2 linked regions of the Styela clava genome follow. The protein of the gene in region 2 interacts with the protein of the main gene of each other region in a pairwise test. Links are inferred from orthologs where the notes say so. Each region holds a gene or a part of one and is shown on either strand. Other genes may lie near its edges.

Evidence for each region.
Region 1: the proteins of uncharacterized protein LOC120328573 (region 2) and bone morphogenetic protein 2-like interact in binary tests that used the Drosophila melanogaster proteins (3 or more experiments, as listed by UniProt). The link is inferred for Styela clava from reciprocal best matches to the Drosophila melanogaster genes Col4a1 and dpp.

What each region holds. Positions count from the first base shown.
Region 1 is NC_135253.1:23,767,965-23,784,884, reverse strand, and holds the start of bone morphogenetic protein 2-like, read right to left. Parts: upstream 9,331-16,920; 5' UTR 9,197-9,330; coding exon 8,836-9,196; intron 1-8,835. UniProt on the Drosophila melanogaster protein: Required during oogenesis for eggshell patterning and dorsal/ventral patterning of the embryo.
Region 2 is NC_135256.1:6,034,825-6,052,612, forward strand, and holds the start of uncharacterized protein LOC120328573, read right to left. Parts: upstream 7,665-17,788; 5' UTR 7,431-7,664; coding exon 7,417-7,430; intron 1,494-7,416; coding exon 1,445-1,493; intron 1-1,444. UniProt on the Drosophila melanogaster protein: Collagen type IV is specific for basement membranes.

The sequences.
Region 1 (16,920 bases), on a different chromosome or scaffold from region 2:
GCTATCAGATAAAATATTGGACCAGTTTTTGTTTGTTTTTGCTTCATTCTTTGATTAACTTTTCATAGAAATTGGTGAATTTTCAATGGTTCCAATGGTTTCAATCATTTACATTCTGATACATAATTCTGCTTATACTTTGTTCCGTTTTGAAAATACTTAAAATCGAGACTGGATTATGTAATCTTCTACGACATGTAGTATTTGTACAACAAAAAATTTACTGTCGACAGCTATTTTTGCAATAACGACCGTACAACGAGGCAAACTGCTTCGGAATGCGACACGGTAGAGTTAACAGCAATAGAGCGATTAGTGTACTCGTCTATGATGTCACAAATATGTCAAGAAAATTAGGATTGTTTGGTAACAAAGGCTAAAATACTTGCAGAAAACCAGTTTACGCTTGCCCGCATTGGGCAAAGATTATGGGATGAAATGATATCAGCAAAATGGGGTAATATGGGGTTTTTTAAGTCCCACCGGATACCCATAATTGACCACACTGTGGGGCCAAAATTATCGCTTTGTCAAAAGTTGAAACGGAAAATAAAAGGCTCGAATTATCTGATGGAAATGTAAAAGATAACCGAATAGGTATCGCCACACATTATACATAGTCTTATTTTACTTGTTATATTTACCCTTTTATATTTGACATACTACACATTCACTCTGAATAAGGCTCAAGAAAAGCAACTACTACTATATACCATGTTACTGGGTGTGATTTCATATAAACAAAGTTTTTTAACATGGATGTGGACTGATGGCCGTGACACATTTACTCCAAAGAAGGTTCTGAACAAGTCATCGCTACAATACACAAGGCTAGGTACTAGGTTAGATTTCAAAAAAACAACTTTGCTGTGAAACTGAAATTGCAACTGGTACACATTCATCCTAAACGAGCGCTGTACATGCAATTGCTCCTGCTTAAGGAGCCAGTAGGTTAGATTTTAGTTAAACAAAATAATTTGGCTACACAACTAGTCTTGTGACTGTAGCTTGAAATGGGAGAGATACTTTTAACAAAAACTTATATCGTCGCCAACAGATTTTAAAGCATATTTACATATCGTGGGTAAATAGCATTCATGGCATTTCGCGGTTAGGAAATTTATAAGACTACAGAAAATGGTCACAAAGTAATCACATAAAGTCGGATTCGTGATGCGTTCTTGGCTAATATACTTTAGATAAAAATTTTACCCAAGTTCTCAGGGTAAAATTTAAAAAGAAAATAATGGTTCACCAAGTTTTTTCTTGCAACCAACCGACAACAAACATCCATATAAAGCCAAGATTTGAAAAGGCGTTCTCAAGCCATGAAATACCAGTAGCGCTTAGGTTCACCGAATAATTTGGTCATAAGCGTTGGATCTCCAATGATTTGGTTCCTTGTGTTTTGTGAACTTTGAAAAGTAGCAAAAATATATACAGATGCCAAAATTTCAAGGCGCGTTTCGAAGCTTAGGGTCGCGGTTCAACAACTTAGCGATTTTCAAGTCGTTTTGCTGCTTGTATATGATGTGGAGCATTGCTTTTGTTGAAAATAATAGTACGTATCGTTCTTATTCATAAATTTACGCGGTGCACGGTGAGTGCAACCCTGGCATTTTTGACCAAATAATGAGAAATGGACGGTTGTTCTGAAATACGATCGACCAACTTAAGCTTAAGATTGGGATGAATATAAGGTCCAAAATTGCCAATTGGATGGCTTCCGTTTTGAGAGCGCTGGTAGGTTATACAGATTTTGAAATGAAGCATTTACTTTCTAATCATTTGAAACAGGCTCCCCAAAAATATTTTTATCACCATATAAATACAAAAACCGAAAATTCCGATGAAACACTGTAATGACTCGCTTGGGTATCAACTCTGGTTTCATTTAGAATCAAGTCCCGAAGTACTACTTACTTTTCTTTTTTACCACTCGGACTGAGCTAAAAGCAAATATTACTATCTTCTACAATTCCAAAAATGGGAAGGACTCGTATGTTAATTTACTATTCGGATTAATACTTCTCATCTTACAAACGATTATCGTGGGGTCTAATCCGGAAAATAAATAAATGAAAATTGGTAAAAGTGGGGCGAGGGATGCCGAAGGTATTGTCTTCCTGGTAGATAACGTATTTGTTTGTTTGTTTTATATCAGTCCATGTTATTCGTCTACAAATGTTAAGGTCGCGGTTTAAGTGGCTACCATTAAGTAACAGTAGTTGAGAAATCCCAAAACTATTGATTAGGAGTATAAGGAAGTAATTTGTTCTCTTAAATATGCAATCAAATTGTTTTCATTCTAGATCATGGAAAGGTAATCAGGACTTTTTTTCATAAAGATAAATTTTGAGAAAAACATAATACTAATATCAGATTTACAAATATTTGAATATAAACTTATCAAAACTCTTAAATTTCGGATTTTTTAATAGGCGCTTCTATCTTTTCGCTGTATCTCTGAATAAGGCGGGAATGTTTTTAATCTATATCTCCGAATAAGGACCTGTATAAGAAGCCACCATCACACAGGAAGATACTGTTCTTCAAATGATCATGATCTTTCCGAATTAAAACACACATTTTATCACACCTTGGGTGAGGTGGAACCCGAGATATTCAACCAGCGACATAGTTAAACTAATTCTCCAACCACAAGCAATTGATAACACAACGATTTGAGATAACTTTAGGACTCTCCAAGGGGCGACAATGGCATTTCAATTTACCGAAATTTTCTTAAATTGGACGGAAAACATAGCCATTGCACCTATAATGTTACGATTTAACTTTAAGGCTCTTCAAAGGGCGACAAATGCATTTCAATTTACTGATTTTTCCTAAATTGGATATAAATGTTACAATCTCACTTTAGAACTCTCCAAGGGGCGACAAATGCTTTTCAATTTACTGAAATTTCCTAAAATTGGACGGAAAACATAGTCTGTGTGAAATATAAATTCAAATGTCTACAGAGGTCATAACCTCTGCTTTGATCCCGGTAGTGTCAGTTTCCCAAATCGTTTAAATCGGCTTCGGATATTGTAACATTATACAGAATATCCGAAAATTTAAATTTGTTAATTTTCCCATGGAACTTATTAATGGCGGTTTTCACAGGGTCCTTAAATAGTAACTTTTAGGTATTTTTAGATCAATTGCTTCCAAAAAAAGATATTTTGTGTAATTGCTATAATTAAAAAATGACCTAATTACAATTTTTGTAGGGTAAAAAACTTTTGCCCTTAACCTCTTCTTTACGTAAGGCCTCCTGACTGCCAAAAATTGGGGCGTGTGTCGGAGAAACGACAAGTTTCGTGAAAACATCTAATGCATTTGAAACAAATAACTGGGTAACTATATTCATACCAGACGTGAACGATCGATAGTTCATGGGTTCGCCATATAACTGAGCTGCCTCATCGACTTTTCTTTCCCCGGACTGCAAACATGGTCGTGGCCATGAATTTTCAGAGGTCATTTCTAATTGCCAAGTTACATCGTATCCGCCAGCGAGTCCGGTCGGAAAACGTGGGTTTTCAAGAGTCTTATACATAAGTATTATACATAAAAATGCTTTTTTCACATTTCAAAAAAGGGGGTCCACACTCAACATACCCCCTGAATACGCAAAGATTCCTATATTGTAAGGTAACAAAGTAAGACAAGAATAAATTATTTCTACTCTAACATTCAACCGATTGGATCTACTGTATTATGAATGAGAATGATGTCATAGCTTTGGGTATGTGCCAATATTCAAAACCTTAAATAATTCGCACCTAGTTAAAATGTCATTTAAATTAAAATCCCTAAAATTGCGAATAATTATACATCCAAATAAAAATTTTGGTGAAACACGGAAATGCGTTGCCACATTTTATTGCCTGGGAAAACCATTCAAGGGTGGTCTGCCTTTTTTTGTAAAGAACAATTACCATGTTCAAGTTATTCGAACCTGGCTATTGTCAAGACTAATTATTACCTACATGTATAAAACATAAGGTATTAACTAGATCATGATCCCTCTCATTTTTATATTACATTGGATTTCCTGTGTCCTTGGCTTTGTTTGAGGGCGAAATTATCTGTGAAATTTGATAGTTACACTAAGTAGCAATTAGAGCCGGTTAGAAGTTTTTTTCTACAATGTAATGAACTCAAATTTAGAATGAATGTGAATTTGACCTTGCATACTCAGTACAGTCAATCGCTTTCGACAATTTTTCAAGCCCTTCTCTTCGAACAAGGGGTTGAGGACTTTTTACAAATTTCAAGTCACTTTAAGGTACTGATAAATAGTGACTCGCGTTCAACTCAAGTCGAGTCAGTGACTCGAGCAAGCACAGCAGTGAAGTATATATTACATAGGGGTTTACTTCCTCCACAGGAAGGGAGTTCGCCTTTTTATTATTTTTTTTGTGGAGGGGGGATACCGGAACGTAGTATGTGTACCAGGTTAGGGTTAGGCTACCCTTTAATTACCTACTTGAACTTTACTTGCACATCACACTAGCTCCACTTAAAACTCCATTTAAAGATTGAACAAATAAAGTGTTTTTATGCATCGGAGGTATAAAGAGTCCAAAAAGATGCAAAAGGGGGATTTAACAAAAAAATATGATAAAATTACTACGTAATACCAATAAAACAGACAATGTAAAATGATATTTTAGATAACACCATCTCTTCTTTTATTCACAATGACGCAATTCCCTTATTCTAACTCAGCAGGGATGACCAACCAATGCCCAGTTAATTAAATTAATTAGGGGCAAATCTTGGCAAGCGGTGCGTGGGAAAACATTCAAATTGCGACGATATTTCGGCCTTAATTACGCATAAATCACCAATCTGTTGCCATGAACGGTAAACACGCCTGAGGTAACAATCAGGGCGATACTTATTACAAGGGAGATTTTCTAAAAACGATTTTAAAATTTATTTCTTATAAATCATATTTAAAAATAGGTTTTGAAGAGAAAAATATTACATTTTCACCCAATTAAAGGATTATTCATATGTAAAGGTGATATTCCTGATATATGATTATGTTAACAAGTTTAAAATGAACCAATTTGCTTTTAATTGTGTAATTACTTGAGTTCAGGGCGTCGATATTACATTCAATTCAAATATAGCTCGGATAATTTGTAATAAAATGTCAAATTTATCTTTATTCTTGGTATGCGACAGATATGTTATATGTGTTCTTTTCTACAAGTGTATTTAAGCGGGAAATTGTTTACCTTGTTCGTGGCTTAATACGGCATGATGACGTAATGCAAATACGCAATGTGACGTCACTTTGGTTTTAATTTTAAATAAATGAAACAATACTCAATGTGACGTCACTTTGGTTATAATTCAATTAAATGCAGCCATACGCATGTGATGTAACTTTGGTTTTAAATTTAAATAAATACAACCGACTAATCGAGTTCCTAAACACGTTTCATTCGAGTCCGCCCAACTTGATACTTAGACGATCAAATAAAGTTTGCTAACAAATTCAGTTTCGAATCGCCAGTCTTAAAGTGCGCAGGCCAACAATATTAATTACATCGATTGCTATTATTTCTACGTGTTTTACTATTCTCACTTAACTGTTTGAAAACCGAGTGAGGTTATCCTGGACTGTTATGAAATATAAAAAAAATTATAAATGAGACACTGTCTTTCTTATCTTGCAAACACGAGAGCAACATTAGTCTGCAGTCTCGGCTACTTGAACTGTTGTTTGTATTACTGTCGAGAGCGCCGCAATCTCAAAAGTAAGAAGCATCCAAGAACGCAAGATCTATTATGGCGTGATATGTGACAACATGTTATGTATAGTTTCAGTCGTCGGCAGTAACTTTGGTCATAGCTAAGTTGCATTTGTTTCTGAGCAGTTGCGTATCTACGTAATATTACGAGCGTGGCAAAGTTGCGCCCCCTTGATCGTTGACTGACATTTTTTACGACTGTTGCCGAATTGATGTCTTACACGTTAGTATTGAAGTTTCCAATTTAAAAATATTTTTTTAGGCATTTCACGATTAAAAAATTTCGCCCTTTTGCGTCCATATCCAAACGGCGGCCATGGGCCATGGCTGTCATACCCTGTATACGCCATTGCTTCTGAGTGAGTGCTCGTTACTCTACATTGAACAAATTCTCTTGAAAAATAAAAACATACTGCCATTTACATAATCCAGCTAACTAGCATACACTGATTTTGTCGCATATAACAACACGTTTCGAAGCGAAAACAATACTAATATATGACTATTTAAAAATGTGGACTATTATTATTCAATTTCAGTCAGGCAAAATATCCTTACCCAGCTTTTAAGACTGAAATTTTATTTTGGCGCAAAAACATGTTTTTTAATAATGTTATTGTTGCTAATTTATAGAACAAAAACTGAAAAATTAAGAGTGCAACAGGGAATTAAATTGGTAATTTAATGAACAATAATTACATCATAAAACAAAGCCGGTTGTTATAATTTTTAATTGTTTGATCATAACACAACAATTAGAAGATAACACGTTGATAAGTGTGTCGAAATCGCATTGTTTTGTCATAAATGTAACACACGACACAATGATCAATCAATGAAACCGATCGTTCTCATAATTTTACCTTTTTCGAGCTCGGACTAGAGATATAATAAAGAAACAAACCTAGTTATTTCTAATACAGCTCGTTTGATATTCTCCATTTTATTTCTCCTAATTTATAGTGTATTTAAATCAAGACATTAACATCCTTATGGGGCGGAAATCAAATAATAATTTGGTATATAAAGCTTCAAAACGTTCATTATATATAAATTTTGATTTACAACTTATACATTGTATACCCCACCATTATTTATTATTATATTCTTAACGGTTACGGGCATATCCGAAATATGCGTGATAGGCGTATGCCGCGGCGTCTCCATACAGTATAAAGCGTTATATGATATCACTATGGCATCAGGTTTTGTACAAAAACTACATTTTATTTTTGTATTTTTCAATTAATCTACTTCTCCCCCGTAGAATAGTGTCTGCTACAATAATGGTTATTGTATGAAAAAGCGCACCATATGCTCGACATATGTACGGTGTTAGCGAGTGGCTGTTGCCAAGCTTATTCGCAACAAGAGAGCTTTCTCTTATACAGCACCTAACCTAGTCTACTGTGGGATACGGTCAAAACATTTCCTACTTCTGTGCAGCGCGGGAGTAGGCCGAGAGAGGTCAAAGAAACCGCTACATATAATTTTAATTAATTCTGAAGAGGTCACCACACAAAATTTTGAAGTGAAAAACGAATTACATAGAGCCCACAATCTTTAACCATATTTTACTCGATTTAACAATACGTATGGACAGAGTGAATATATGGTACCAATCTACATTCGAATAGCTCCCTCGAAGAGGGTAGTTATGCTCCCATGTAGACAGCACGTTAGGGATATATCGACCAAAACGTCGTATGAATGGACCATCTGAAACGGCCGACTTGCAGACAGCTACTTCGCGTAAACCAATTTATCCAGGCAAAATTAGCAGTAATGGACTCATTTAACTCCGGGAAAGACTTCTAAGTCGATATTTTCGTGAACAGTTGTCCAGAGGTTTTTTTATCTTTCCGGCTTTTACAGAAACCGACAAAATGATTAAACTTTATCTACCGACCTTAAAACATTTATATTAACCCCTGTTACACAAATCACCAACATTGCTACCGATTTAAAATCGAATAGTTCGACTTTCTTGTATGTAAAGGGTTGGACGAACCATGGTATCTCACTATTGTTTTACGAAGGACAAGCGCCGTAATGTCTGGTCACTTTTAGATGGTAAATATTTATGCGCTGGTGATGATAACGCGGTTTATAGATTTAACATTTACAATAATGATCACCGAAGTTTCAGACTCCTTCGAAACGATATTTTAGCTCAAGATTTGATATGTATTCATTAATGTATCACATTTTTAAGAGTTGGAACGTGACCGCGACAGGAATTTGAAATGGGAAAATTTTTTATATTTCGGCGGGAAATCAAGCGCCTAACTGCCGCCAGTTAGGAACACGTACTCGACAGAAATGTTGTCGCAAACTAACGATAAAAGCTCTAACGTTTTAGCAAACAAACTGTATTTAATCCTCTCTTTGCAAATTATATCTAAGGAAACGGTTTATAGTGCAGTAAAACGCTTTATGGGCGGAAATTTTTATTGATAAATACCGGCATTTCACGAATATATATTTCATACTTCCGATAATAACCCAATTTTGGCCAAAAAGCGCGAATTAGGAAAATCGAGATGAAATATATCAAAACTGCTAAATCAGATAATTCTAAATCGCCAAGATACTTCTTCGAATGGTAAGACTGGTAAATGGTTAAAGGGTTCATATTAATTGGAAAAAGTGGAATGAATTATAAAATCGGGCTAAGACAATTATTTTCTAAAACGCACTTACGCTTATTTGAGTCACAAAAACGAATAAATATGAGAATATAGTAATCCCGGGAAAGAGTGGAATCGTTAAGACGACTAAATGCGTCGAACTACAGTCTTTTGTCGGCTTTCAATTCCAAGTCGGGTATAAAAATAGAAGCAGTTTAATGTTCAAGGCACATGGACTATCTGAATCTGTCTTAAAATAAAATTTCTAAAATTCGACGATCGAAAAACATCGTTTTTAAAAATAACGTGAAGCGCGGATTTTCTAACTGAACTTCGCATTATTCAGATAGTAATTAAACTATTTAATTAAATGAAATATAACACTAATTCATAAAACTATTTTACTATAGAATAAAAATTCAAAATCTTACCTAAATGGTGAAAGCTTCTTGCTGTGTTCACTCGGCTCGCAATCTCGTCATGGGGGAGATCGAACCCGGGTTCCCAAGTGGGTACCAAGCTGTGGGGGCCGTCGGAATCATCCCCCATGTGGGCTTTATAGAGGTGTTGCATAATCCGCGGAACGGGCATGTCCCCTGAGGGAGTCGGGCGACGAGTAAGTCCAAACATATCTAGTAGTTTCTTTTCGAATTCGTTGACGATCGCTTCCTCGGCTTCGGGTGTGTCTGCTTCCGCCTGTTCGATTAAGTTCGCCCGGCCAGCCTCCGGGAGCATCCCCGATGTTGTTGAGATTATAATAAAAAGTCCAATAAGGTGTATTTGGAAATGCATTGTTCTATTTGTGGTAAAGTATTCCCAAAATATCTTACAGATCTCGGAATATCTCAAACTTTGATAGATCCGAAAGGACAGTATAATATGCAGATATATATTTTCGCTTTACATTTATAATTAGAAATCTGAAAAATATAAAATGATGTGTAACGAAAACGCTAATTCTTACAAATTATATAAAATACATTTACAAAAAAAGTAAAAATATATTAATTGGATTTCCGACCAAAATGGCGTTTAGAACAGTCAGTTATTTTATATTGAAAACATTCAAATCAAAAAAATATTATATATAATCCTCACGCTCAAAATATATACCGAGATAATCATACCACACTTTCTTAACCGCGAAGCAAAACAACAACACAGCGATCAGAAAACCTTCACCGCACAACTGGTGAAAACTCTCACGTAAGGTTGGACAGTGTTTTGATAAGAAATGGAATTTAAAAAATATGCCTTTAGGCGACTACCAGTCATTCAAAAAAAAACTTTTTGCCGTTGAAGACAAAGTACCACTGTATAAAACTATAGTACAATCTATTCAACTTCCACTTAAAATCATTTCGTTCGTTTATACTCCTTTCTCTGTGAGTTTAACAAGAAAACTACTCTTAACAAGAATTTCAACGATAAAAATAGCAAAGTATAACTTCAACTGTGTATCTCAAAGTACCAAATTTTATCCACGCGGCAAAAAACGAACTGTATAATGGAAGATTTATTGGAAAAAAATTAAAGTATCTAATCCATGTCCACTGTCAGACAGTATCTCCTAATGATTGTATTCCATAGTTTATAAGCTTTGATGTAGGTATATCACATTATGGTATAGTTATATCCCTGCATGATTTTCATTACTGAAAGATATTCAAAAGCCTTTTCTATATTCTAACTCAACTGTCTATTCTTCTGTTCCATCGCCGATGTTGTGGCGAAGTATTCCTGAGTCTTCTCAATTTATAGTTCTGATATTCCCAAGGCCGCGAACACCAAATTGAATGCTCATTTGAAAAATTGAGAAAGGAATACATACGGTAGCTAAGTGTGTGACTAACTAAATTAACGCCGTATGGAGCAATGCCGATTGTCGAGTTGCGAGATACGACGAGAAAAAAGGCAGCACACAAATATCTCTCTCTATTATTCAAGGTGTCTTACAGATCGACCATTCGGAATAATTTGCTAGCAATGCCCCGAACAAGAATTGTAGAAGATGGGCTTTTCTTTTAAATTGGTAGTTTGTCTTTGAGTGTTTCGATAAGTTTTTGTAAGAAAAATTTCGAAGTGAAACACGAATCACATAAAGCCCACTAACAGTTTTTAAATAACTATAAGTAATAGCCGTCTAGCGAAAAATGCAAGCTTTCGCCACTGAAACTTTCAAAGCAATTAGTTATTGTGAAAAGCGATTTTTTCATAATAACAGGAAGAAAAATACCAACATAATAGCACAGGGAACAATATGTACATCTTTGCTCTAAACAAAAATTGTTTCGCGCGTACTTTTAGTCCAAAAATTTGAGCAGTCAAATTATGGTTTCTTTAGTTCATGATCGGTATTTTGTGTATGATTGACATTTGTGTGCTGTGCCCTAAAAAACAAACCCGCTTTTCTATAGTCCAAAAGTTCAAGTTAGATTAACTTTTATTCGACAATGGAATCTAAAATTATTTCAAAAGCATATTACAGTGAATTTGGCAGGGGTTTCTAATGCGTTTATTTGTCATTACTAGAGTTTTTGATTTGGTTAGAGAACTTAATAACGTGAAAGATACAATAATAGTAATAAAATTACTTTAAAAATGTTAATCTTCTAGAATTAGATTTATTCTAACTTTTAGGTCCTTCCAGATAATTAAGAAATCTACTTCTTAATGTCTGAAAAAACGAAGAAGAAATATGACAGATAAAGACAATTATGCTTCGATTCTGAAACATAACTGATAAATCGCGCAGTTTCAGTGCCAATATTTTCAACCGCTAGATGCTGCGATTAAGCACATTTTCGATTGTTTAATCAAACTGTCTTCTATCGACTATTCATGAATGTTTTTTCGCATTGATAAGAGTGTAACATACTCAAAATATGAAGAAAGTGTGTTAAAAGTATAAAAATTGGGAAACCGGGATGACGTGAAATCTGACATAATGATGATATAATCCAATTAATAATATTGGCCTAATCAGTTTTTTTTCTCTCGCGCGCGATAAATATGAAAATTCCATCTCTGTCCTGATTAACCTTGTGACAAGAAAGTCACTACCGCGGGATGTTGCCAAATTAAAAGTATTGATAATTGTAAACCTATTTTTGGACCTCCCTTTATTAGAAGGGGTAGGTACTGCACTTTCACTGCGCGTGATTTTGGTCTCTTTTTTTCAATTTCGTTAATTCCACTGGATTAAAGTCTAGTTCGGAACGCCACGCAATAGTATATTATCGCTTACCCGTTATCTATTTGATAGTTGTCTATTCATTTTTTTTTTTCAATATGCATTTTAATCATCAGAGATAGATTCCCAGTCCCCAAATTATTAAATGTATGCTTATCAATAAATTATCATATCTTATCAACACTATTTTCATACTAATAAACTTATTGCTTGATCTAATCAGGCGAACCTGATCATCGCGAATCCCAAATTAACAAGCAAACCATTTACCACGATGTTTCTGTATTGGTTCGTAATCTTCAAAGACCAATCGGAAATAATATTGCGTTATCAAAATCAATTCACAAAAGATTGGCACCGTTTGATACATCGTATCAAAATGCTTGCACAACAGAATTACGAAGTAAGTAACATAGTTAAATAGAAGTGATGTCACAGTTGACAATGCATCTTCTTGTTATAGGCCCAACACTGAAAAGATCCAAATATTATTTGCTTTTTCTCTAAGATGTTCATTTAAAGTTATATTGGATTAGCGCCCTACCTAATGACCTATTAAAATCTTAGATAATGGATCCGCATGCGCGTAATGTAACAATTCTAAAGACACATGAGCGTTTTGAATGGCCAGAAATACCAAGACAAACGTAATCCAACTATCTTACATTTGTATTATCGTCTTCAGGCGATCACTCTTTCCTACTTAAACAGATAACACATGCACAAAGCTTTAATATATATATATATATTCTTAGTATAAGTTACTGAACAGACGTTCTTCAGATATCTCTCAACTATACGCTAAGGTGATATATACGTGTATAGCAATTCGCCCGATTTTAGCATCTAAAAATTCTCTGGCTTTGTATATTAATAGTTCTTATTGTGCTTGTAGTTCTCATTTATCATACAATGAAATTTATTTATACCTAGAATTGTTCTTACTATAAAATCGGACGAAATTTTTGGACACCATGTATGTATCCCTGACGAAAATAACTGAACAAAAGTTTCGTCAAATGACAATTCGTCAATTCAATATACATATATAACAAGAAAGAAGATGACTATTCTAAACAAGTCCTGCTGCACACTGACACAAATTAACTTCTGATATTTACAATTCAACTACCGTACTTCAAAATACTCATCTCAAATCAAACTTTTAAGTACTCTTTCCTGCTTAAATAGATAACATTGAATGTGCGTCAAACTACAATATATATATCCTTAATGAACAGTAATGATATTGCACGTGATTATAAATACAAATACACTTACAAAGTGCAAACATAATTAGGTAAAAAAAAGCAATAAATATCACAGCGGGAAATATAAAGCGGATAAGATAGTTCGTACGAAAGTTAAGCGGACATTTTTCTGTCTAGAACGCTATTTGCTAGAGATATTATACAGTACACATAAGAAAATTATTCTTTCAATACGTACTGTTGAACAACATCCCAGCGGCTGGTCAACAAATCTACATTTTTGTTCCGTAAATTATTTGGCTGTCTGGAACTTGTGAGCGGAGGAGTACCAGACAAACTCTGACGACGATGTGAACGTACTAGCAACACGCTGGGATGATTGGTGATTGCGCACGAGTCTGTAGTGAGCCTGACAAAAGATTTTCGTGTGCGACTGCGCGCATCGTAACGCGATAAGATAGATTACAGATTTAATGTTATTGATAGTCAGATCGTATTTTTCTGTCCCTTTGACTTAAACATTGCCAATTTTTGTAGCAAATGATATTTAACTATAAATTAGAGTTAAGTGAGACTAATTGGAACTTTGTAAATCACGCGCTTCCAAGTAGTTTAGCAGTTGCTGAACTATGAAGCAATCTATTTCTATAACGTTTCGCCCGCATACTATTATTTACTCTTATACTATGCTTTTACACTAGTGGATCTCCAAATGCAAGGATGCAGTAACAAGACTCTCGCATTATATAAAACGATATTTAGGTGACTTTATGGAGAATAAGGTTTCCATATTTATTCCAAAGAAGAGGAAAGACAATAAAACTGCCCGATCATTCGCTCTAGATTCAACATGGGCAAACAACGGCTGGGTAATTTAATCTAGCCTGATTTTGCCACAACCAATTTAAAACCAAATTTTGATGTTCTTTTTTCAAGAATAGCGCAAGAAATTGGTTGAGATTTCGATTTAATTTAGTTTTGGCACGAGGCTTATTTTTTTCCACTTTTAATTTTGTAACACTGTAAATATTGTTCATAAAATGTAACAAAGCTTTCCGACTGGACATTGTATACCCTATTTGTTACGCTCTTAGTGATGTAGTGTTGTTTCTCATTCGAAGAAAACTGTTCGGTATAATTTTTTATAATCTTTCATTTCGAACGTGATTTATTCCTACTCGGAAACGAATAATCGTGAACCGCACGCCACCCATTTTTGTGGTACAGTGCCAAGATGGCGTAACAAGGCTCTGAGACCCAATTTCTTTGTACTTTGTTTTTTTCTCCACAACCCGATACCTCAAAGTTCAAAAAGTCGTCTATCTGGCGCGTGGCCAATTACCGTTTCGTTTATCTCTTTCAAAATGTCAATAGTTTTCCTCAAAACACAGTCTTATCTTTAAAATTTGATATCACAAGTTCAGATGTTGGCTTTCTGGCACGAGGCCAGATAATGCCACCTGTACCGATGCCAATTAGTAGGCAGGACACAACTCAGCATCCAATTTGCGTGTGACCTGACAGGATTTAACAGGATGGGGTGATCGGCGTAGAGGTATGTATAGAATAGATCAGTGGCTTCAAAGTTGATTGACCAGGGTCCAAAATTAGAAGCGGAAGGACATTCGTTTGGCACCAAGTTTGGCGGTCCGTATTTAATCGTTACGCGGGCCGTAATCTTTACACGGGCCGTGTGTGGCCCTGGCTCCAAGGTTTGAGAACCGCTGGATTAGATCGACTGACGAAAGATCTATAGAAGCATACATAGATATATAAGAAATACTAATGGAATTATGTCAGTTATTATAATTATAACTGATGCGTACGTAAATTTGGGAAGCTAATTACCAGGGAATATGGGAATCTTCCAGGCTAGGTCATATGTCACCTATATATGTACAGGTCTTTCACTGTTATTTTTTTTGTAATTCATTTTTCGTGACGTTCAGTACGAACAAGCATTCACCGACGAATAAAAAGCATCTAATCCTGATTGATTGCGACTGTTCTAAGAATAGCCTTTCACGTATAGCCGAGTATTCGCGGCCATGCTTTGGCAAAAGCTGTGTAGCTCCAAGCGCACCAGTTATGCTATTCATAACACTTCTATTTATAGCACAATTTTATATTTAGTCAAGTACTAGAAAATCTATTTTGAGCAAATCTTACAGAAAAGTGTACAGCTTTAACGTGTCAGTGATTGCTTGAAATAAAAACTCGTACGTATTGTATATCTTAGGATTTAGAGCAGAGGTGTGCAACCTGCGGCCCGCGGGCCAAATGCGGCTCATATAGAAAAATTGTGCGATCGGCAAAACGAGTTTTTGATTTAATTTAATCTGGTGCGCGCGAGTAATTTCAACTCTCTGCGTTGCAAAAGATATACCTGACGCCTATGACGTTTCAATGCCTTAACAGATGGCTTAAAACTTTTGTGCCAGCAACTACTAGAAAGCCTATGTTAAAAAGAGATGAGGCCCGCGGATTTGCCCATTTTTTTGTATCTAGCCCGCCTGTATTAAAGGCTGCACACCCCTAAATTTTAGAGCATCAGCGGTTGTGTTCTGCGTATATTTTTTGTTATAACATTTCGCATTTGTCCTGTCCAAAAGCATCTAGTTCAGCCATCAATCTTAATTCCCGGATGTTTTGTCGTTCGATATTTGTTTGGTATTTTATTTCGGAACTCAGGTGTTAGTTCATGTTGTTGTTTTGCTGGCTTTTCACACTTGGTGTCTTGCAGGGTACGGAAGAGTTACAGGGGATTATGGGCTGATATCAACAACGCGTTATGTTACATAGCTACCGTGTTTTCCCGAAAATATGACAGGGTCTTATATCAACTTTTTTTATTTTGTTTAAAATAACACTAAGGCTTATTTTTGAGGGATGTCTTTTATTTTCAGCAAAAACAAAATTACAAAGTAGAGAATTACGAGGTTTTCAAATATACAAAATCTGAAAATCGATATCCATTTACTTATAAATAAAACATTTCTTGCTATCGACTAGGTTTAAAAACATATTTGCGTTATCAACTGCTAGGTCTTATTTTAAGTGGAGGGCTTCTATCAAATCATATTGAAAATTCATGCTAAGCCTCATTACTGGGCAATTACCGTTTGTTACGAATTGAATTGAGCAAATAATAATTATTACAACTGCCTAGCGTTATTGACACATACTTGAATAATTTTTTAACTTCCACTATAATATTATTTCTGCTGGATAAACGTGCTAGTTAAAAAAGAACAGATAACAAGTACAGATTTCACTGTGACATTTGAAACATTCCACTTGACTCCGAGTTGCACACTGCTGTATGCAACAGCGCATACTCAAGACTATTTTCCAAAATATTAGTGTCCAATACTCCGTGGCAATCAAATAATAAAACGAGAATATCGGTCAGAGACCGAAGACTTATCGATTGAAAGTTAGGGGATCCCCCAAAACAGCGCTCTTACTCCATAGTGACACTTTGTGTCTAATTACTAATTAATTAATAACTCGCTAATTATACGACATAATTCATCCAAAATCAATAGGCTTCTGGACCGACATATGATGAATGCACATGCAAAATCTGGAGCAGATTCAATCTCGCTTTCGTGAGATATCGCGTGCATCTAACAGACAGACAGACAAATACCTATCAACATACTTACCGATTAAAATCGATAAGTAATAATCCTACGTAAAACTGAGTATTCGTCTTTCAGAGTATGAACATTATAAAACATTTTATTTTATAAATAACAATAAAAGTTATAACATTATTAGATATTTAAACATAAGAATTAATATTCGGTACTAAATATCAGTTAAATCATAGGAAAATTACGTGACTCATTTTATCCCTAATTTTTATTAAAAAAATGAATAATTTAAAACTTTTCAACCCAAAATTTTAGGTTAAGCCCAGTGCATTACGATTATTAAACGTCATTTTCCAAAGTGTGCCAAGTAGTTTTGTGGTCTATAATCTTTTCCCGCCACACGAACAAAGGAATTGTCTCTGTCATTATTATGTCATAAAACGTATCATCAATTTCCGCGGAAATGTTCCCGCCTTTGATTTTCTCTTGTCTTTCATTCTACGTAAACAATTA
Region 2 (17,788 bases):
TGGTCCAAAAACCTTGTCCACCTCTGCAATAAACCCTCTATACATGGTCTCTCCCTATTACGTTTTGTCATTTCACCCATGAGTGCTTGCTCATATCATGTTACATTAGGTTCCATTACATTTGAACCCACGTACATTTGAACCCACGACAATTGCACCTGCATACTATTGCACCTATGGAAATTTTTGTTTTACGGATATTTGAACCCATACCAACCCTAACCCATGGGTTTTAGCACCCGCATATAGATTGAACCCGCGGATATACACATGGGTTCAAATGTACGGTCACCGTTACATTATCATGGATGTTATATCTGATCATATTTTGTTATTATTTTTGAGGAAACAGTTCCATTTTTTATTTTCATTCTGCAATTATTAATTGCCTCATCACTATTTCTCTCAAATTTCTTTTAAAAAAAAATTCGTTCACAGTGATAAATCTTTCATCATGTCTTGTTCTATGGCACTATTATGGGTTAATGGGCATTCGAAGATCACAGTTGATCTGTACTGTTTGGTACTAATGGGAGTTACAGATCGCGATCCAGAAAGTGTGATTCAAAAGCAAAGTCGTGTAGTGCGGTTGGCATCGTCTATCTTTGCTTTGTCTTTAGGTTTTGGAGATCCAGCCAAAACAAATAATTATCTTCTAACACTACTTTGATTACAGTTCAAATAAAAATAGGGGACATGAAATCAACTCGAGTCATTATTATAGTCGTCTATCTAATGATAGATACCGAATAGTTAGCAGATTGATGTTTAGCCAGCTCTGAACTTGCAAGGCCGTGTGTGAATAGAGCGAATTGGTTGGGATTTGGCGACACCCGCGATTTATGGTAATAAAATTGACAGGAGGTTCTTTTCTTGTCATTGTTGTAAACTGCTTGTCTGGGGAAGTCTATGTCAGTCAGACGAAACGTCACAGAAATACATTTGTGATAGTGTGCAGCAAGACTGCATAGACTGGTTTGAAAGTTGGCAATATTTTAAAGAAAAATATGTTTTTTCATTTAATCAAGCAATCTTGCTGGGAAGTTAGGCTCGTCCAGTTAATGTTTCCCAGAGCATCGATTACCTTTTTTTACGTTAACAAAGACCGATCAATAACAATCAAACTTTTTGCTGCTGTTTATACACTATTTCAGTAAACAATAATTAGACCCGAAAAAACTGCGGAAGACTAATCTAAAAATTAGCTATCGGTATTGTTAACGAGATGTGGCTAGATATTTTGAATCAAAAAGATCAAACGATTATAATTATAAACATGTGCAGCATCTCCAAGCGTAAAATTGCCAAATCAATAGGCATCAAATTTTTCTGAAGTACTGTGGTAGTGTTTTCTGGGGTCAAGGGTCGGGAAAGCATTCATTAAGACTAAGTTGCCAGGCGATCACGCCCTAGTTTGAAGAAAGAGAAAACGTAGTTCACTCACCGCAGTGGCTTCTTGTATGCAAATGATTCCGATAATTACGATGAATAATCTGAAATAAAACAATGAATGTTTTGAATGCTTTAGTAATTTTTAAACGAGTTTGACTATGCAAAATAATTTACCGAATGATCTGAAAAATATTCCTATTTTTAAAGCAGTCAGTAACGGGATATCCTGAACCAATAAAAGTCAATAAAATAGGCTTTAAAAAGGAAATTGAATAGTATGTAATTGCACTGTCTTTGATTTTGTTAACCGTCAAAAAATGTACAAGTATGTATATTACACATTGGGAATATGCCAATTCTATTTTGCAATGATTTAGATTTTAGAGGATTAAACCTTGTTGCAACCGAACCAATGTATCTGTCCTACAACTGTCATTGCCTGAATCCCCTTTCTGGACCAGTGATGGATGTAATATTTAGGGGTGGCTTCACTTCTTTAGCAGTTGTGTATGCAAATAGTTGGAAGCGACGGAATTTTGAAACGATAAATATACTGGCCAACAGAATCGATGAATAAATAGGCCAATTTATATTGCAACGTTGTATAATTGTGTCAGTTTAAAATAGTAGCATGTCCAAAACAAACGACTGTTGGCCACACAGGCGCAGTAAGATTGCAGCAGAGGAGAACAAAATTGTAATTGAATAAAGCACACGGTGAGCAAATTGTTCGTCGTATGGACTATTCTGTTATGACGCAATATATATGATCCCTGTTTCGGCTATATGATGACACAATAACAAGTCAGACTGCGGCAACCAAACGGCGTGATGGATAACTTAAATTTAAGCCCCTTAATAGTTTGATCGAGGAGCTTAGCCTTTGCAACTAATAAAACATCGGCTCTGCTCCATCAAATAGGCTTCCCTTATAAGCAACTTTAATCGATTCTTCCCGCTTTCTACGCACAATTTATTTGACTGATATGCCGGTAAAATGTTTATACTCCAAGCAAGCTACGCCGGTTACACGAATATGCGACGCTAAGTGTACGATCGAAGAGCGTTCAAGAATCTAAGACGGGGAATGTATCAGAAAAAGTAGACTGTTTGCTTAACATAACTGACTCAAGTAATAAGTAACTCTACCAATAGTCACAGTACGACAAAATCGACTGTGGACAATCTCATTTATGACGTCATAAAAGGTATTGGTAATACAAATTTTTGGTAACAGTAAAAAAAAGGATGAACATATGAAGTTCTATGGACCCCAGTCTTCATTTCGATAGTCTCTTCCGCATATGACTATTGGGCTTCAGTGTAGACGGCAAGTTTTTACACTACGACTCATTTATGCATTTGCCAAATTTTAATCCCATTAGTTATATTACTTCTGTGCTCACTGCACTAAAAATGACATTCGGCCATTGTCACAGTGGGAGGTGATAATGAATCGCGTCATCCAATCTAATGTAGCTTTCAAGGATTTAAATATTTGAAAAAATGCCTGAGATAATGTCGCGAAATTATGCAACGTAAACGCATCGGCAATGGTTTGGAAATATTTCACAGTTCGAAATTGACCACATTTGTGAATATTTCTATGATAAGTGTGAAACCTCCCGCACGCTTGTTGGAAAGCTACAAGGAAAACCTCAGTAATGTAAACATATACGACGCTGAAACCATGTTTATAAACATTCTATGATTAAGGAAAATACTGGTTATTATTATACTCTGCCAAGTCAAACGGAATAAAGTAATTCATTGAATATTATGGAATCATATACCGTGTTTCCCCGAAAATAGAACAGGGTCTTATTTCAATATTCTTTCGAAAAATAACACTAGGGCTTAATTTCGGGGGATGCCTTTTATATTCATTTATCGAAAACTGGTCAATTTTCCAAAGTCACGTCCATCTTATCAATCACCCTTTGACCCGGACCAATTTCCTCAATTACTGTTTCCTCTTTTGAAGTCCCTTCATCTTATTTAATGTCAAATAACAACATGGAAATAGGCTTCACCTTAACTTACTACTTCAACTACGGGTCAATGGTTAAATTTGTTTGTACGAAATTTGGAAATGTCATCGTTCGTGAGAGTTCTCAATGATTTGAAACGAGTCGTTCTTGTCAGGCGTTTAAAATGATTTTAAATTGCATACATTTCCAATGCGACAATACCGGTTTGTTATAAACTCACCGAATATAGATTCGAAAATTGCAGACAATTTTCATTATATCTAAAAATTGATATTTGATAAGCTCATTTGTAAGATTCAAAACTCTATTCAAACTTCTGAGCACACATAATATGCACTAATAAGACGCAGTTTGAAACGTATATCCATCTACACTTCTAACTAGCGATGTGCAATGAAGCGTTACCCAGATAGCGGAAAAATAATTATTGTGTAACAAAGGATAAACGGGAGCCGTAAACTATGGTCGACGTCTTTCACCAAAAGCAAATTCAAAAATTGATTCATCATTTAAACGCCAATGATGTATTGAATAGCGTGAACTAACACAAATTTTGGTTTTTGATCTATTTTTAGATGTAGCCCATTCGATCACAATTTACGCAATTCATATGCAATGTTATATGCTATTTGCATGATACGTGCAATTTGGTATTCCCGTAGTTGTGTACCAGGTTATGTTTAGGCCATAATTTTATTCCGATTTACCTTATTGTTTTAGTTCTATCACGAGTTCGAGGACTGTCAGTTTTAGCCAAGTGAATATACCTCCTGCCCATAGGTTTCAGTCCATTTACACGACTTGATGTGAAGTAGATGAACAAAATTAGTGACCTCCATATTGGTACACACACTTCTGGAGCGCCCGGAATTTTACCACTGAATTTGAAGTCGGTAACATTCAGTACATTTTTACTCCCAGTTATCGTTTTTGAACACTTACAAAGAGAACGTTTTTAGATAGACCCAATGCAGCACTGAATCGAAAAGGTGCACACTGTTTCCCGCGATAGTAAATTCATGTATACATTCTCGAATTGGAACGTGAACACGAGCTAATGAATGGATAAAAACGCCAAAATCATTGCACGATTCTCTGTACGGTTGATTGTATTTAATAACGTTATAAAATTATAATTCATATTCATAAAAATGATCACAAAGAGGTCTATCGTAAAAAAAGAATTGATAATTTAGGACAATAAATGTAGTGAAAACTCAAAATTTATCGTAGGTTTCCTATGTGAGTTATATTCGTAAAACCGATCCAATTTGATTTATTTATTTGGCGCTCCAGAAGTGTGTGTACCAATATGAAGGTAACTAATTTTGTTCGCCTACTTCACATCAAGTTGTGTAAAGGGACTGAAACCTATGGCAGGGTGTATATTCACTTGGCTAACACAGACAGTCTCCGAACTCGTGATCGAACTAAATCAAAGCATAACCCTAACTTGGTACACGTATTACCATTTATTTTTCATATGTCGATAACTTCATTAGAAAAAACTACTTCTCATCTCAAACCCTATAATACTTCTTTCATTCAACTAATTATTCACATTAGTCACAAAAAAATGAATAATAAATCTACATATTCAATTGTAGCATTTCAATTTTAGACATGATTGTAATATTACTAATCCAATATTCTGGTTACATATTACATTTGATAATTAAACATGTATTATTTTGTAGTATTGTAGTATAGTAATGGACTGACTCAGAAAAAATTAGAAAACCAACGCTTTCTTCTGCAAAATAGTTGGCAAAGTATTCAATAAACCAGTACTGACATATATGTATATGTTTTGCCGCGCTCCAAAAGTGTGTGTACCACTATGGAGGTAACTAATTTTGTTCGCCTATATTACATCAAATTGTGCAAATGGACTGAAACCTATGAGCAGGGGGGATATTCACTGCTAACACAGACAATCCCCGAATTCGTAATAGGACTAAAATAAGGAAAATCGGAATAAAATTATGGCGTAACCCTAACCTGCATGGTATACATATCGCGGGAGTACCCGTTTTGCTAAATCGCATGTATATATTGAACTAATCAAAGGTATTCATCGGATTTACCGTTTTTTAATTCACCCCAAATTTTTGATAAAACTTATATAAATTTATATTAAGCTTTGAAAAACCCACAAAAACGTATAGTATCGTTCAACAGCGAATATGTCTGTTTATAAATAAGTGTAAACCATGGATTTTGTCTTAAATATGACACAGCTCTGGCTTAAATAATTTGAGTTAATTATGATAAGAATTACAATTTTGTTATCGTTTTATTCACGTGATGTTTTGAATTAGGTAATCATTCAAGTTTATGCTTTGGCACTAAAGATTTCGAAATAAACTTAGTAACTATACAGTACCAAGCAACTTCTGAAAGCTTCTGATACATTTGGATTTGTTGGACATGCACAATATTGTGATTATGCCAATTTCGGTGCTCCCGAAGTAAGCGAACCAAGATGGCGGACATCGGAACGTAACATAGGTTAGGGTTAGGCGATAATTTTTTTCCAATTTTCCTTACTTTTAGTCTTATTATCAGTTCGAAGACTAGCCAAGAGCTTCCCGTAGTATTTATAGCTAAAATTATGGCCTAACCCTAACCTAGTACACATATTACATTCCGATGTCGGCCATCTTGGCTCGCATACTTCTGGAGCCCCCCAATTTCTATTCAGCGAACGTTTGTTTGCGCCCACAAAATCTCTTTCTATATATAATTTGTGGATATCCCAATATTTTATTCAATTTGTATACTGCTTGCACCCCTATTCCAACTGCATGTATTTAACATCATGCATTTGTCAACTCGACACTTGACTATTGCGACTTGTGAGCTTTATTACGTCATAAAGAATTAATGCTCAAATGGAAATCACATCAAATTACGAAGCCTGATGATCACATCATGGTTTTCTCTCGCAAAACAGTACAGAAATGTAATTTTTAACTAGCATCAATATATTGAATCTCCAATGAAAACTTGGCTTCTGTTACATTGAAGTTTTTCAGTTTGTATTACTTTACATATTCTGAATCTCATCCTTCTTATTTTCATTGTTATAGCTATTCTTTGCATTAGAATGTTCCATAATAGCAATTAGAATACCGATTCATTCTCGCATAAAATTGGCTACCTATGTAGAGCCTTAATTGTGGAGAAAAAATTTCTAGGCTGCTACATACTGTATCTTTTCAAACCTAGCAACCACATGTTTTCACATTTTGTCAAAATAAATTTTCCTCCATATATGTTCTTACACAAAGACTAATAAGGTATTCAAATGCCAAATATTGAACATGTATTGGGGTGCTGTACTAATGTACACCGATCTTGCTTACTGCTTAAATTTGAATGACATGTTGCAATTGACACTTCAAAACACGTATCCAAATTAACTTCGTTTCAAAATGAAACAAGTAAATACATTACAAACTAACCAAAATATTCTAAAAACGACGCTTCAGAAGTGTGTGTACCAATATGGAGGTAACAAATTTTGTTCGTCTACTTTACATCAAATCGTATAAAGGGACGGAAACCTATGAGCAGGGGGTATATTCACTTGGCTAACACAAACAGTCCCCGAACTCGTAATAGAACTAAAATCGGAATAAAATTATGGCGTAGCCTGGTACTCACTGCGGGAGTACCGTCAAAACTGTTCAAAATATATGAACATATATACGTTATATTCGTGTTGTGAAATATGTCGTTCGTTCACTAGATTATGAATTGTTTCAGCTATTTCATAGCACGGTAAAATTAAAGAAATTTGACTCCATTTTACTTGAACAGAAATTAACATTTTTAAAAATTGGCTCAGAAGTTTGCGCTTTCAGGCATTTGCGTGGCTTAAATTCGACCAGAACTCTACATAGAATTACTTTACAAATTATATCATTGAATCAACTCGAACATTACTGGATGTACAAATAAAACTAGCTTCAAGAAAAAGATCGAAAATTGATGAAACGTTTAAAATTCATCTCATAATGGTACTTACATTGATTTCCGCATGTTGGCTTCCGGTTAGGCCGTTCCGGGCCAATTTCCGAAGATTTCTTGCTTCTTAAACTTTGTGAAATTTCTCTAATTCATTAGCTTTATATAACTGGCCTATTCAGGAAGTTATTGGCTGTAATTTGCTTCGAGCTTTCCTCTATTGAGCATCGAAGCACAGCGCGCACGTTCGCCGGATCTAGAGCTCCTTGGAACGGCGAGTTGGTGCTATTGGCGCCGACTAAAACTATCGCTAAAAAAGATATTATATAATTATTAGGATATTCCTCGTAAAACCGTACACATTTTCGCCTAAAAATTGTTAAATTTTGGTCTAAAATTCTGGAATTTTGGTGGCTACGACTGAACACATATCTAAGCGACAGAGTTTAACACTTACGCCTATCTAAAATAAATAAAAAAGCACTGAAATTTTCCATTCTTGCTAGCAACCTACGGGATTCGGTATCGAGCGAGCGGATCGTCCGCCGCCGTCTCTTTTTTTCGTCACTTGCCTGCGGCTCGGTTGGAAAAATAATAAATAAACAAAGACTCGGAGATGGCCTATTTCTTTAATTACTTGGAGAACTAACTTGTGCCGAAAGGAAACGGAAAAGAGTGACGGTCGTCCAAATGAAAAAGAGAGAAATAAGAAAGTGAGAGAAAAGTGTGTGAAGAAACGAAAAGAGTGGGATAAAACACAAAGAAACACAATGAGCGTAAATTTGAACGAGCAAGGTGTGGCACGCACAGGATAGGTTAAATTTCACAATTTGGCGAAGTTTAATATAGGCTAAGTAAATTTTAAGCGGCCTACCCTAATGTACATTTCGTCTATTGGTGTATTTGGTTAGAATAACAAACACCCACAAGATTCTTTGTAAAATGCTTTTAACAAAACGCGTATAATATTATCATTTCACAGTACCTAGATTCTAGGCTATCGTATATATACAAATAGTTGATTGATTTGGATGTAAATGACGAAATATTTGGCACGGGATATGAATTTGAAATATTATCTTAAATAATCTACAGAGGCTATATTATATATTGAGCCAGCGCAAATTCATTCAATTTGATTTTTTAAGCCCCATTGAACCTCAAAACAATGTCCGATGATTTACTTGTAATCATTTCATAGACAATTTTTCTAGAGTAATATTAAATCATACTTCGCATTGTATCGCATCTAATTTATGCTGGTATAAAATCAAAATAAACTTAATGTCAAAATAAACCCGCTGAGGAGTCTAAATTATGTATTTCAGTGCTTGTGAAATATGAAAAGCATTTGGCATTCTAAAATGTGGTTACGTTAATATGGGATAAAACATGAAACATTTAAGGAGATTTGAATCAAACCGTCAATTTTAAGCGAATTGCTGGATGGTTTGATAGTTGAAAATTTTCATCAACGAATCTATCGCAATCTAAAGCCTTGGCATATACTAATAAATATCTAGATATACATCAAGTTTTCGAATAAGACTCAGTCATGTGTTTTTGGTTCCGGGTCGGGTTGGTTCCAGAAGAATTCACCTGCTTACAAATCGTGAAACAACGTAAAAAGTATTCTCACAAAACGACTCCTCCCAGTATTATAATTTTATTAATATTCCACAAACGATTTGTGTACTTTGTACCTTACGTTTGCGGCCTAAGCAACCAAACTGAATATATTGTTACAGCATAGTTGAATTCTATCAATATCAATATTTTCTTTGAATATTCGACACTAGTTAAAATACCTAAATAAAAAAATCCGCCTTTTAACGCTCGTATCGATTTTGAGTGCATGTTGATCTATTGTATTTCAGATGACTGATGGCTGGAATCTTCCGTTGCAGCCCCAGATAGTTATAACTTTCCGGGATTAGCTTAATTGATAGATAAGCCTTAATACATTTTTTGCTTGATAATTTTGCGACTGTGACGTTCTACTAACATATGTTTTTGATTACAATATCCTATCCGAATCTGATGAAATATATAGTTTTACGCACAATGTAAGCGGCAAGATTGATGAAATGTGACTCCTTGGACATTTCTGGTACTCCCGTTGTCCATCTTTCACGCAATAAAAAACTTATTTGAATTCTAGAGATATGAGAGCATGAGGTTGACTGCTTTCGATTTAGTTTTTTTTAATTACACATCACGGCGCTCCCGCAGTATGTGAACCAAGATGGCGGACACCGGAACGTAGTATGTGTACCAGGTTAGGGTTACGACTTAATTTGGAATATCGAAGAAATCAATTTAGGAAGTTCCATAAATCAATGTTTGTTTTCCGAAATATAAGACAAATATATTTCGGTCAATATTTTCTTTTCTGCTCTTGACGTTGGTCTGGGCGAAATTGAGACTGATCAAAAACACTTCAGGTGCTCGTTATTGTGATGAGAGCGTAATACGGTTTTGCTGAGAAATACGCTTGACGGAATAAAAGTGTGACAAATAATCTGCTCTCATTTGCACTCGTTGGGTTGAACTTAAAGGTGAGTGTTCTGATTCAGAGATGTTAAAACGTCCGTGTTCGTATTCACGATAAAAATCTTCAAAATTTTTTCTGTTTCTCAATATGTTGTTGCATCGTTTTTTTTGTGATAGGTGTTAGTGTTGATTAGGCGGTCAAGACAATACTCATCTTCGTTTGTGATGCCGAATGGTTCACTGGTAAAACGCACAAAAAAGACTGATACATATCAAGTTTGTATACTGCCACGTATTTACCCATGCAACCACGAGGTATTTCTAATCCTCCAGGATGGTTTACATAGGATGGGTTTGTTGCAAACAGTTTTAAATTACCACAAAATACGCAATAGTGTTTAATATATTTATAAATCAAAACCTAAAAATAAACCTTTCTGTATTTTTCTCGACCGCTTGTTTGTAATTAAATTTCCACTGATACTTCCGATATTGTATGAGGATAAGATTATGAGGTTTGCTCAAGAACACGAACAAATATTCCTAAAGATTTCAAGCTGATAAGAGTCGAGTGTTATATAAACAATTCAGTAATTGTGCCAAGAATATCTGCATTTTTTCCGTTTCACAATGGGCAGCATTTGAACATCTCTTGAAGTGACGGTAAATATTTGAGGATAGAGTTACCGTGAAATTCAACTTAACTTTACGTTTATTTGTAGCCATATGCAAACGTTTGATAGTAAACTTCAGCACACCAATGTGAAATTAGTCTTACAAGTGTTCGTTTGTTGGTTTGCAAATTTATCTTGCGAATGCTGATTGCGGCAATGTTGTGGCGTTTATTGGACACGTGGTCGACCTATGGATCGTTTTGTTATTATGTGCTTATTCTTTGTCACAGAAAAAAATCGCTTTTCTCTTTGATTACTGGACCAATGGCTTTAAAATTTTCAGTGCTTAACGATTAAATTTTTCGCTAGAAGGCTATAACTTTCGTCGTTTTACAATGGGCTGAGATTGAGGTGCATCTCATGAAGTGGTGGTAATATTTGAGGGTGGAGTCACCTTGAAATTCAACTCTACTTTACGTTTATTTGTAGCCATGTGCAAACGTTTGATGGTAAACTTCAACACATCAATGTGAAATTAATCTTACAAGTGTTCGTTTGTTGGTTTGCAAGTTTATCTTGCGAATGCGGCAATGTGTTGACACGAATCTGAATAAGTGTTTGAATGGCGTTTTGTTATTTTGGATTGCCTTTTCCACTTTCTACCCAGAAGCAAGTATATACGGGTTAACCGTCGAAATAAATTAGAATCTGGAACGTTTCAACTTCAAATGAATTCAACTTAAAATCTTAATGAATATTCATTCACATTGCTTCCCTGTTTACCGGTCACCTCGGTTTATCTTAATTTGTGGATTGCTTCAATACGCTTGTATTGCCTTTTCGGCGCTCCAGAAGTGTGTGTACCAATATGGAGATAACTAATTTTGTTCGCCTATTTTACATCAAGTTGTGTAAAGGAACTAAAATCTACGGGCAGGAGGATATTCAATTGGTATATCGGAATAAAATTATAGCCTAACCATAACCCGGTACACATCTACGGGAGTACCGAATTTTCAAGTATTTGTGGCTTAGCATTCCAAACATTTGCATTTCAAAATCATCCTGTAGTAATTATAGAAATCAAGAAATGCATTTTTTATCTATACTGAAGAACTTCAGAGAAAATAGTTCAAATTTTTAAGGTCAAAATTCAGGACAAGAAACCGGAAGTTCATAATTAAACATTATGAGTGAAACTTCGTCCGAATTTGTCGCTCTAATTTTGGTATCTTAAATGCTCATTTCCTGAATGTGATAACTTCGACAAACCATGAAATTGGCAATTAAAAATTAGGGTGCCGTTGATAAGGGAATTTTAAACTCTAAACTTTCCAAAACTCCAAATAAAAATTCGCTGAAAATTTCCAGGAATACCGAATATCATATGTACTTGCTTTGAAAAAGGCTTAGTATAATCACCTACGGACACGCAAGCAGCGAATATGATCAAAATTTGTCGTTTAACCAACCCTCATAATCTCATGCATTTGTGATAGTTAATTAATTAATGTACTATTTTTATATCAGATCTGGCAACCGGGTGAGATGTCGTGCAGGGTCCTTTCTTATGAGTAATACATCGTATCGGCTTTCCTCACCCCAAAACAAAGTCTAAAAAGTATCTTTGAAATCTAGGACTTTCTAATTAAAATTTGTCCGAAAAAGAGTTTCACGTCCGCAGAAGAGTTCAGTTCCTCGGGTCAAGGGGTCACGAATCACAGCATTTTCCATCTACGACGCGTATACCCAGTTAGGGAATATTAATTTAATTCAATTATACTATATAGTGATAATAGTAAGCTCATAATTGGCTCCAAAATCAACCAATCTTGCGGATGATCGAAAGTCTAGACATATTGGATGTGATGGATTTTGCACAAACAGTGTGGGTGGCGGTTATAGTCCCATTCATCTTCTCAGTAATGAGTTGGACATTCCTAACATTTGCTACTTCTACTATATATAGTGCAAAAAATAAGCGAGAATTTCGTTTTGTGATTATTCGATCCGCCTATATAAAATAGTAATTCATCTATATCCATAGCGATCTATGTGAATGATTTCTCTTACAAAATACACTTACTAATGCCCGTATGATTTGGTTTCTGCGAGACTAACTACTTATCCTTCTTTTATGCTTTTGTGTCGGTGGATCCGTATATGCATATAATGCAAGGATGCTGTAGCAAGGGTAAAGATAACAATCCTAAGTGATTCAAGAGTTTTGCTGCACACTAACACAAATATATCTCTGTAAAGTTTCGTCTGACCAAGGTCAGACTCATGTATGTCTGAAGAAGTCTGACCTTGGTCAGACGAAACGTTACAGAAATATATTTATGTTAGTACGCAGCAAGACTCTTGAATCACTTAGGATATACGAATTCACTTTGAATTTCGATGTTCTCATTAACTTTGAGTATTGTACAGACGTATATTACGTTGATTCATCAATATTCTCTTTAGCTTCTATTTATCCAGAAAATCTGATTTACTAAAAGTTTATAAAGTTCCTTTACAATTTCAATTTTGTTATGAAGTCAGTTCTCAATATATCTTAACCAGGGTGGTTGTTTTTTAATCAGTAATTGTTTAAGTATTTTTACTTCAATATATGGTTTCGATAAATTGTCTTTGCAATTTTAAAAAATGTATTTTTTTTGTATTTATTTCTTTACAACTTAGACAGAGTCATCTATCTAGTGATTCCAGTAATCCAGTAATTGACAACGAATCAACGAACCCAAGCATTTTACTCTGAAGTATTGCCTGGTCTGGACGTTTACAATGATAAATTGATTCAGAAATGATAACACACTTTGTAAAGTCGACGTGGAGGTCTAATTGTAAAGAAAGTAGAAAGGAGTTTACTAATAATATTAACTGTATAGTATAGACTAATAGAGCAGTGGTTCTAAAACTAACTTGGGGCGTAAATATTCCAAATGATAATCTTCACGTCCCCTCAAAAAAATTGTCTATGCCTCCCTTGTGGGTCGCGTCAACCGTTACCGTTTGACAACAACTGCTATAGAGTATTTATATACTTGGTGTCCAAAAATATTCGCCCGATTTTATAGTAATAAAAAAAGAAAAGTTTTTGTTTTTGTTCATTACTAGTTCTTAACGTGCTTGTAGTTCTTATTTATCATACAATTAAATTTATTTAAACTTACAATTGTTATTAATAGAAAATCGGGCAAATTTTTTATTTTTATTACTATAAATACGGGCGAAATGTTTCAGACACCCTGTATTTTTTAATTTTGTAAATTATTGGCCCGATTTAGTTATTACTGTCAATTCAATTAAATTCATGGGCAGTAAATTATTTCTGGTTTTAGGAAGGTTCGTTACTTTATACAGGATTCAAATCATATTCGGGATGCGATTCGATTTAACCAATCGATAATCAGCCGAACATGAATAGAAAATATTTCAGTATTTAAGATTAAATACACGTGATGAGGCTGCAATGATCAAATGAATCAAAATCATGCTGGGTTGTAAGTGAATAAATGAGCAGTGATGAACATTAGACACTGCTGTTTACACGTCACCACTAGAATTTCAATGTTTATAAAAGATGTTCTTGTGTTTAGCGCTCGGGCATTTGCTGGCATGTATTGTGCATCACTATCAATTTATATAGTTTTATTTAGCTCTTGGCAACTCATTATTGGTCGTCCTAATTTGACTCAGAGGTGAGCTTTCTTTTCTTCTGAAAAGAACATGGAGAAACGAAAGGAATGGATTCCGAATTAGTATTTGTTCTCACATGTTTATCAAAATCATTTCGTTTAACTTGATCTGCACATCTTGGTACAATATCTCTGTAATACAGATATCAAAAAAGGCAACACAACTAACCTTGTTATAGCTGATATATGTTGTAATTGCCATAAAATAGGATATGATTTACATATTTATCCCGGGGGAGAGGAAAGCCGATAAGACGGATTATTCATATGGCGAACCACGGCCTCTTGCCCGGTTACCAGTCCATGTCGGTTATGGGATTAGTCAGCATTTTAGTTTGTTTTCGAAGGCATGGACTTGCATGCGACACCATCGCCATGCATGCGACACTCTTGATGTAAGCCCTATAAATCCCAATATACATTTCACCAATGGCAATGCAATGAAATGTGAATTACGCAATTATAGCAGTAATTTTACATTTTGTTTGCTATCGAATAAACTTATTTGAATAAGGATTCCACGTGTCGTTTTTCAGCTTAAAAGGAAATCAGTCTCGCATGTCTTGGATTATTTTCATTGATATTGTAACACGATCCATGGATTATTCCTAAGAGTAAAGTTGCTTGCTTTGATAACCAGTTAAGAGTTTATTTGTTTGCCTGTCTATATTGTGTTTATAGCAATTTGGTGAATGGAAATTTGAAAAAGTTTATAAAAAGCACGAACACGAGTTTTATCTCCGAAAGTAAAAATTTAGTGTTTTAAAAATAACGTCTGATTCACAACAACAATAAATTAGAATGAATGTTATTACCCCACCAGCAATTTTGTTTATTCTTTTTACGTTAACTAAAGTTAGGATAAATTTGATTAGTTCGCTAAGAGTATTGTCCCATCTCCAAACGTATCTAAACTGACCCAAAATGAAAACGATTAAAGAAAACAAATCAGGAAATCTGTGTGGGAGCAATAACAGGACCAATGAGTGATATTGCGAATCTATTTTACATTCAAATCGGTACTCCCGTAGTGTGTGTACCAGGTTAGGATTCGGCCATAATTTTATTTCGATTTTCCTCAAGCTTTCCGATTGAACTGAGAATATTTAAGTTCTATTACGAGGACGGGGACTGTCTGTGTTAGCCAAGTGAATATACCTGCCCATAGGTTTTAATCCCTTTACACAACTTTATGTAAAGTAGGCGAACAAACTTAGTTACCTTCATATTGGTACATACAATTCTGGAGCGCCCTCAAATCCTTCTCTCCTGAAGCTGATCCCATATATAAAATAAATAATAATAACTTGATCAATAACTTCGCTTGTGCAATCTCACATTTTGATTTCGCTTCGTTAATCTTCTACGTTCGTTTTTGTTTTTATTTGGTGCTTGAGTCTACTTTGAGCTCTTCTTTGGTGGTCTGCTGTTTGTTTCATTATTATCACCTATAACCAGGCATGGCCCGTGGAAAATTAGCTCAAATTCATTCATATGCCATGCGTGGGCCGGAGTATTCGCATAATAATACATCTTAAACTCCTTTACTATAAAATTAAAAAATATTTGTGTTTAGTTTAGTTTAATTCTGAGAAGCGTAAAAGTGAAATGCAATTGAAATGTGTTGGCATTTATAGGCGGCAATGTGTATTGTATTCATTCTATGGTACTCCCGAAGTATGTGAATCAAGATGGTGGACACCGGAACGTAGTATGTGGGTTAGGCCATAATTCCATTCCAATTTTCCTTATTTTAGTTCTATTACGAGTTCGGGGACTAGCCAAGTGACTCCCGTAGTATTTGTACCTGAAATTATGGCCTAATCCTAACCTGATTTACATACTACGTTTCGGCGTCCGCCATCTTGGTTCACATACTTCGGGAGTACCATTCTATTCAGTTGAAGTTATTATATGCATATAATGCTGACATCATTACGAAAGAATTGAATTGAAGAGGAGTGATTTTGCGTCGATCAAATATTTAATCAGAGCATCCCAGAAACTGGAGACATGTTTTTAACTCAAAGTGTGTTGATAGGTTCGAGTTCAAAGCCAATCAAAAACGATAAAAAACTTTGAGAAAATGGAAATACAAAAAACTACAAATTTAAACACTATCCACACCAATGTCATTTAACGATATAGGTGTGTGTCTGAGGTGAAAGTATTCGATAGAATAAGGTCTTCACAGAAACTCACGTTACATGGAGGCGGACTTTTTCGAACAATATAGCGCCGAAAATCTGCTCATACAATGAAAAGTTGAAACTTTACAACATATGATACGTCTTCATACTTTGATCAGGGGTTTGTTTGCGTTGCGACAAGATTTTTGGAATCTCTGCGGCAACCAAAGACCACAAGCAAATATTATAGGTGCGGCGTAATAAAGAAGAAACCATCTATTCATAATACTATAAAAGATGAGTAAATTTGCCAACTAGGCTTTATTATAAAGCATTAGAAATTGCGATTATGAACGATTTTATTACTAGAGGAAATTTAAATCTTTTAATTCTTTTTAACAGCAATGCAAATGCGCAAACTATCAATAAAATTATATAGAAATCGATTCGAATTTTTCACACAGCCAGTGAAATTGCCACTATATCGATACGTATTTTAATTATTGAGAGCACTTTATATGACATCGTGTCATTTTATGATATCTTGTACAATTGCTTTGGCAAATATCAGGCTCTTGTGAATAGGAATTTAATCGAATCGTCAGAACTTTGATAAACAAATATTAGCTGGAAATCAAATTTTCCATGTAAAATGTTTGAAAAAAAGTAATTTTGTAAAGTAAAAATTGCAATCAAGTCTGACTGAATCATTCATTCGTTATGATTGAAGTTGTGAGTGTTGTCGGGAGATTGTATTTTCTGCAGGAAGATCGAATCTATCAATATGATCATTTTATAAGTTAAAAAGGTCAAAAGTCGTTTCCAAAAGTTTGCTCAAGTCATAAATTTATCCCTTGAACTAAATAAAACCATACTATAAAAATTCGACTTCACTTCCTGTATATTTTAGAGTTCAAGAAGGTGTTGCAAGGCAAGAAATACGGTGCAGTAGTTAAACTGTTTTATATCGATCATTCATTTGATGACATTATGAAATTCGAGAAAAATAATGATACTGTCATGTTCTATTTAGTTTGATAAAGCTCTGAATCGGCGTTTTTATACACTTGTTTAGCAATATATATACGACACTAAGGTTTCACCATATGATATTTGAAAATTTTAAATACATTTCTATGCAAGGCAAGCGCAATTTACAAATTTCAATACAACATACAAATTTCTTAAGTAATTCAAGAGTCTTGCTGCACACTACACAAATGACATTATAAAATTTGTGTTAGTGTGCAGCAAGACTATTGAATCACTTAGGATAGTTATCTTCACGCTTGCTTCAGCATCCTTCCAGTATATGAATACGGATCCACCGACACAATAGGAATAGAAGAAGGATAAGTAGTTAAAGTTTCCGCGTTTTTTTTGTTCACAAACTTTCTTTTATTATTAAACCATCAATAGGCACACCTGTTGTCGTTAACCTACATATTTTCATGAGTAGTTGAGTGCGCCCTCTCCAAATAGGGCGCTGATCA